Linked DNA regions of Cricetulus griseus. The protein of the gene in region 1 purifies or fractionates together with the protein of each later gene. This does not show direct contact. Links are inferred from orthologs where the notes say so. Each region holds a gene or a part of one and is shown in the gene's direction. Other genes may lie near its edges.

Region 1 (3,241 bases):
AGCAAGTACACAAGTGATCTTAACTCCTGAGCCATTTTTTTCTGGTCCCTCCAACCCCACCACCCTGGGATCTCACTGTGTAGTCCTGACTGTCCTGGGACTTGCTCTGTAGACTAGGCTGGCCTTGAACTCAGAGATCTGACTGCTCCTGCCTCCTGAATGCTGGGGTTAAAGGCACATACCACTACCGCCAATCTGTTTTGAGACAAAAACCAGATACAACCTTTCACCACTGAGTCTGGAGCTCACTCATTAGCTAGACTTGGTCATCAAGTCACTGAACTTCCTGTCTTTACTACTCAGTCCTGGGCTTGCAGGCACACCCTGTTCCTGCTGGAGATTCAAACTGAGGTCCTCTTGGTTCCACACCTAGCATTTTACCCACTGAACTGTCACTCCAACACTAATCATTTTTATTTTATTCTGTGTCTAGAAATGGCATGACTGTGTGTCTGTGTGTCTGTGTCTGTGTGTGTGTGGTGTCTGGTGCCCCCAGAGGCCAGAAGGTCATTGACCCCTGGAACTGGAATTGTGAGCCACCATATGGGGGTTGGGACTCTAACCTGGGACCTCTGGGAGAATAGCCAGTGCTCTTAACCACTATGCCATTTCTTTTCTTTTCTTTTCTTTTCTTTTCTTTTTTTTTTTTTTTTTTTTTTTTGGTTTTTTGAGACAAGGTTTCCCTGTGGCTTTGGAGGCTGTCCTGGAACTAGCTCTTGTAGACCAGGCTGGACTCGAACTCACAGAGATCCACCTGCCTCTGCCTCCTGAGTGCTGGGATTAAAGGCGTGCGCCACCACTGCCCGGCTCCCACTGTGCCATTTCTTGAGCCCAAGTTTCTTAACACCTTCTTCAGGGGACACCAAGCATGTCCTTACTGGCTCAGCTGATAACAGCTGTCGTCTCTGGGATTGTGAAACAGGTAAGCCTGGGCTATCCACTTTTCAACAAGAATTGACCAGCTTCAGTGTACCTGTCTAATTAAATATGTTTTGGAGAACTAGAGATAGATGGTTTCCAGTCTATAGATTCAGAGACCTCAAACAAAACAGCCAGGAAGTCACCTGAGGAAAGAAGCTTCATGTTTAAGATAATAAGCCATTCAACTTGAAAAATAAATAAAGGTTGGGAGTGATAATGAGCTATGTTCAAGGAAGGCCACAGAGGGACAGCGGACCTCCTGAGTGGGGAATGGGTGGCCTTGGGAGGTGGGAGCTGGGGCTTTCATTGACAGCAAAGTGCTTTGTCACAAGCAAGAATGAAAGCATGGAGTGTCCGATAAAAGGCTAGGACGAGCCGTGTGTGATGGTACACACCTTATCCCAGCACTGGGAGGCTGAGGCAGGAGAATGGAAAGTTTCAGGTAGCTTGGGGGTAGGGTAGATGAAACAGGAGGCTAGAGCCAGAAAAGCCTTGAGTGTGGAAGAGAAGACCTTAATTTCACATTCTGGGATCGGGGAAGTCATTGCCTTCACTCCTGATCTCAACAGGTTCCAATGGTCATACAGGTGGTCCTGCTTAAACTAATGGGGTCACAAAACAAAACTAGAAGTCACGAACCTGGGAAATGGACTGATAGTGGTGGTGATGGGGACAAGAGGGAGAGTAATCGGGGTATATTATATACATATGTGAAATTCCCAGGCGACAAAATAATTAAAATACAAAACTGCCCGGCAGTGGTGGTGGCGCACACCTTTAATCCCAGCATTCAGGAGGCAGAGGCAGGTGAATTTCTGTGAGTTCAAGGCGGGTTACAGGACAGCCAGGACAGTTACACAGAGAAACCCTGTCTCAAAACAACAAAATAAAAAAAAACTTGGCACACTGAGGAGTCTGATGAACAGGGAAGAATAGTGGACTGGTGGGTTTGAACAAGGTCCAAGCTGTAGAAGAGCTGACAGCCAAGGGGAGGCCATTATATTATTCTCGCTACTGGGTGATTACGTCTGCTTCTATGCTGGGACACGCAGGAGAAACAGTGTGAGAGGGAGACATAGCTGGGAACACGTTACTCTCAGGGTTGGTTCATGAGGAGATGCTGTAGGAGGGAGTTTAGCCTGTCGTCCTCAGGGCAGGAATGCTGTGAGACTCGGTAGGTGAGTGCAATAACATTAGACCAGAGTAACCTAGACCCCGCCTCTCCCCAGGGAAGCAGCTGGCCCTACTGAAGACCAACTCAGCCGTCCGAACCTGTGGCTTTGACTTCGGGGGTAACATCATCATGCTCTCCACAGACAAGCAGATGGGGTACCAGTGTTCTGTGAGCTTCTTCGATCTACGGGATCCAAGCCAGATTGGTGAGGGCTAGGACTAGGGGCGCTGGGGTGGGTGGTGTGACTTCAGATCCCAGGGCCTGACCTCTGCTGCTCTACACAGACACCAATGAGCCCTACATGAAGATCCCCTGCAATGACTCCAAGATCACCAGTGCCGTCTGGGGACCCCTGGGGGAGTGCATTATTGCAGGACATGAGAGTGGTGAGCTCAACCAGTATAGCGCCAAGGTAAGGGGCCAAGTGTTGCCAGATGACATCAGGTGTGGGAAGTACTCAGGCTATGTTACAGTGGTCACAAATAAGCATCTCCTGTCACTAGAGAATCAGACAGCAGCTTAAAAACAGCCAGTACATCCGGCACTGGTGGTGAACACCTTTAATCCCAGCACTCAGAATAGAGCTGAAGTAGTTGGTATACATGAGAATGTGGAGTCCTAGACGGTCATGATTATCGCCACGGTGCACTGTGGAGGCAGAGACATCCTAGTCTACAGAGCCAGTTCCAGGACAACCAGAGCTGTTAGATAGAGAAACCCTGTCTTGAAAACAAAAAACAAAACAAAACAAAAGGAATTGGAGATATAGTAATAAAAAGGAAGGGAAAAATAATATATTTACAGACAGGTGTGGTGGTCTAGAGCTATAACACAGCTGGTGAGAGCTGGGACCAGTGAAACAGGAGAATCAAAAGTTCCAGGCTGGTGGTGCACGCCTTAAATCCCAGCACTCGGGAGGCAGAGGCAGGCGGATCTCTGTGAGTTCAAGGCCAGCCTGGTCTCCAGAGTGAGTGCCAGGACAGACTCCAAAGCTACACAGAGAAACCCTGTCTCAAAAAACCAAAAAAAAAAAAAAAAAAAATTCCAGACTTGAGGGGAGCTGAGGTGAGACACACCTTTAATCCCATTACTTGGGGGCCAATGGCAGGTGGATCTGAGTTTGAGGTCTATGTAGCCAGTTCCAGG
Region 2 (3,750 bases), on another chromosome or scaffold:
CCTCCCGAGTGCTGGGATTAAAGGTGTGCACCACCATCACCCGGCCGTTTCTTCCTACTTTTTTTTTTTTTTGGAGCCTATCCTGGAACTAGCTCTTGTAGGCCAGGCTGGTCTCGAACTCACAGAGATCCTCCTGCCTCTGCCTCCCCAGTGCTGGGACTAAAGGTGTGCGCCCCGCCGCTGCCGCCGCCACCACCACCACCACCACCACCACCACCTGGCCTACCCTGCAGGCTCGACTCCCATTTAATTCTTTGTGAGGGTTTTATTTTTGCATTTTACATCCCTGCTACTGATTGGTAGTGTCACTCCTCTATGACCCACCTTGTGGAGATTTTCTCTGTGGTCCAGGAGATGGTCTACTTTGTTCATATTTCTTATAGACTTGAAAAATCGGTCGTTGAATCATTAGTAACACTTGGGGTGTAACAGTTTCTGTTGTCTGTATGATATATAACAGACCCTAAGTACTAGCAACAACGAAATCAAAACATCAGGGTACAGTATGGTTTGCCACGGTGTGAGCATTGCATGACTCCCGAATAGTGAGTGAAGTCCATGCTCATTGCAAACATAAGGCGAAAAGTCACTTGGGAGCAGGGATTGCTTAACATGGCTTGCTGCACAACCGATGCAGTGGTTTGCAGACCTGATACCATGTAGGTCCCGCGTGTCACAGGCCAGCACGGTTTGCAGGGCATGTATTCTGAATGCTCACCATTGCATCAACGTGAACGCTCCAACGGCCCATAAAAGAACCCCTTTGGGGGCTGGAGAGATGGCTCAGAGGTTAAGAGCACTGGCTGCCCTTCCAGAGGTCTTGAGTTCAATTCCCAGCGACCACATGTTGGCTCCCAACCATCTGCAACGAGATCTGGTGCCCTCTAATGTTGTATACATAATAAATAAAATCTTTTTTTTTTTTTTTAAAGAACTCCTTTGGTATTTTACTCAAGCGAAGCATCGGTCCTGGAGACCGCAGCAAGGTTAAGCACGGTCTAAGTACTTTCCGTGCGTTCCCTGGGGTTAGAGACTGCACAATCTGAAACGTCACAAGGCCAGCGAGCGGCCCCAGGAGCTTGTCACTAGTTAGCAAGCGCTGTGGCTTGCCTCACGCCTCCTTGAAAGCTGGTGGGAGGAGTGGGAATTAAACTAGCAGCGGGAAGCACTTTTGCACCGGCCCCGCCGCCCGAGTGCGCGCTCTGTCGCTGCAGCGGCCGCGCGTTTAGCGGAGCGAGTGCAAGCGCACGCTGGCCCGGGAAGGATCCGGGCAGGCACGCAACGCGCATGCGCGGGGCTATCCCCGCCCTCAGGAAGCACGGGGAGGGGGCGTGGCCGCACCCTGGCCGCCCTTCCAGACCCAGACCCCCCCCCGTCCAGACGCCGTGGTTCCGCTTCCGGCGCCGCACGCTTCCCTCTCTTCCTGTCTGGCCGGGACCATGGCGTCGCGCAAGGAAGGCACCGGCCCCAGCGCCGCCTCGGCGGGCTCCGCGGGCTCCGCGGTGGGGAAGGGCAAAGGCAAAGGCGGCTCGGGGGACTCGGCCGTGAAGCAGGTGCAGATCGACGGCCTGGTGAGTGCGGGCGGCCCGGCTTCCGGCCGCTGTCCCCGCGAGGAGCAGCACCCTGGCCGGCGTCTGCACTGTGGCTCCAAAGGTTTCCACCGAGGGGGCCGGGGGCGAGCAGAGCCGGGGTGGGCGACACGTTGCATGCCCTGGAGAGCCGGTCCAAGCCGGTGACAGCTGCTGCGGCGAGCAGGAGGGTTCAGGGCCCTGCGAGGGGGAGAGAGAGAGAGAGAGACACCTCCGGAGGAGGCTTTATTTTAAACATTTATTTATTATGTATTATACAACATTCTGCTTCCCTCTATATCTGCACACCATCAGAGGGCACCAGATGTCGTTACAGATGGCTGGGAGCGACCGTGTGGGTGCTGGGAATCGAACTCAGGACCTCTGGAAGGGCAGCCGGTGCTCTGCACACCATTAAGGGCACCAGATGTCATTACAGATGGTTGTGAGCCGCCGTGTGGGTGCTGGGGATCGAACCCAGGACCTCTGGAAGGGCAGCCGGTGCTCTGCACACCATCAGAGGGCACCAGATGTCATTACAGATGGTTGGGAGCCGCCGTGTGGGTGCTGGGAATCGAACTCAGGACCTCTGGAAGGGCAGCCAGTGCTCTGCACACCATCAGAGGGCACCAGATGTCATTACAGATGGTTGGGAGCCGCCGTGTGGGTGCTGGGAATCGAACTCAGGACCTCTGGGAGGGCAGCCGGTGCTCTGCACACCATCAGAGGGCACCAGATGTCATTACAGATGGTTGTGAGCCGCCGTGTGGGTGCTGGGAATCGAACCCAGGACCTCTGGAAGGGCAGCCAGTGCTCTGCACACCATTAAGGGCACCAGATGTCATTACAGATGGTTGTGAGCCGCCGTGTGGGTGCTGGGGATCGAACCCAGGACCTCTGGAAGGGCAGCCGGTGCTCTGCACACCATCAGAGGGCACCAGATGTCATTACAGATGGTTGTGAGCCGCCGTGTGGGTGCTGGGAATCGAACTCAGGACCTCTGGAAGGGCAGCCAATGCTCCTAACACTCTGAGCCGTCTCTCCAGCCCTGTCACCCTCGCTTTGAGTAAGTAGTGCATCACTTCACCTGGGGCAGACCCTTAGGCAGTGCTCAGTCTGCACAGTAACAAGCCGCAGGGAATAAGCTTTTTAAGCTTTTAATAGGATATTTCTGGGTAAGGTTTATGCACCGGGGCATCTGGAAAGCTCGGGATAAGAAAACGCATGGGACGGAAGACGTGGGCATCTCAAATGATGTGGGTTTCCAAGCTTGAGGAGCATCCTCCAGCAGGTTGTGCTGGCACATGGCTTTACTTGGAGCACTGGTGAGGCGCAGGCCGCCTGGGTGAAAACCCTTTATGCTGGTGACTGGGTGTGAGCTTGTGAAACTGTCAGTCGTGGTTATGGTCGACTGTGATGTATCTGTGGACGCCAGAGTTTGCAGGATGCTCGGGAGAGCTCTGGAAAGGTTTATCTAATATTTAAATGTCCCCTGTATAAGGCAATGCTGTCTCCTTTGCTTCGCTTACAGTTTCAGCTTTCAGTGGCTTTTTTGAAGCAGGTGCCTTCAGGAATGAATACTACATTTTTAAAGATTGTCGGTTAGTTGGTGGGTGGTGGACTTGAATTGTAGAAGTACCAGCTAAACACTCCCGGAACGTGTTTTAAGTCTTAAGAACTAATGTTTTAGTGCACTTGCATATGCTTTGAAACCACTCTTTGGATTCCTTGGTTTCCAGAGTTGTAGAAGGCAACAGGTAGATATTATAAATCGGTAACTACAAATACATATTTTAGGACTTGGGCTGGGCTTGGTGGTACATACCTGTAATGCCAGCACCTGGGAGGGTGCAGCAGGATGCTAGGGAGTTGTTTGTCAGTCTGGGCTACATAGTGAGACTGTCAAAGAAGAGAAAGTAAAATACTTTCAGGGCAGTCTTGAAACTGCAGAGCTGTCATGGGACAGTGCCTTAAGAAATTTGAAGCAGCCGGGCGTTGGTGGTGCACGCCTTTAGTCCCAGCACTCGGGAGGCAGAGGCAGGCGGATCTCTGAGTTTGAGACCAGCCTGATCTCCAGATCGAGTGCCAGGATAGGCTCCAATGCTACACAGAGAAACCCTGTCTCGATTCCCCTCCCACCCCCCCCAAAAGAAATTTAAAGCAATAGGATTGCTGCAGGTGG

What was found. The genes of interacting proteins can lie anywhere in the genome.
Region 2: the proteins of Eif3i (region 1) and Eif3h purify together in Homo sapiens (affinity purification with mass spectrometry; 7 studies listed by BioGRID and IntAct, counting the BioPlex papers as one, with this or other methods). This does not show direct contact. The link is inferred for Cricetulus griseus from reciprocal best matches to the Homo sapiens genes EIF3I and EIF3H.

What each region holds. Positions count from the first base shown.
Region 1 is NC_048595.1:23,438,357-23,441,597, forward strand, and holds part of Eif3i (eukaryotic translation initiation factor 3 subunit I), read left to right. Parts: intron 1-856; coding exon 857-922; intron 923-2,150; coding exon 2,151-2,300; intron 2,301-2,379; coding exon 2,380-2,507; intron 2,508-3,241. UniProt on the Homo sapiens protein: Component of the eukaryotic translation initiation factor 3 (eIF-3) complex, which is required for several steps in the initiation of protein synthesis.
Region 2 is NC_048603.1:3,232,965-3,236,714, forward strand, and holds the start of Eif3h (eukaryotic translation initiation factor 3 subunit H), read left to right. Parts: upstream 1-1,385; 5' UTR 1,386-1,439; coding exon 1,440-1,571; intron 1,572-3,750.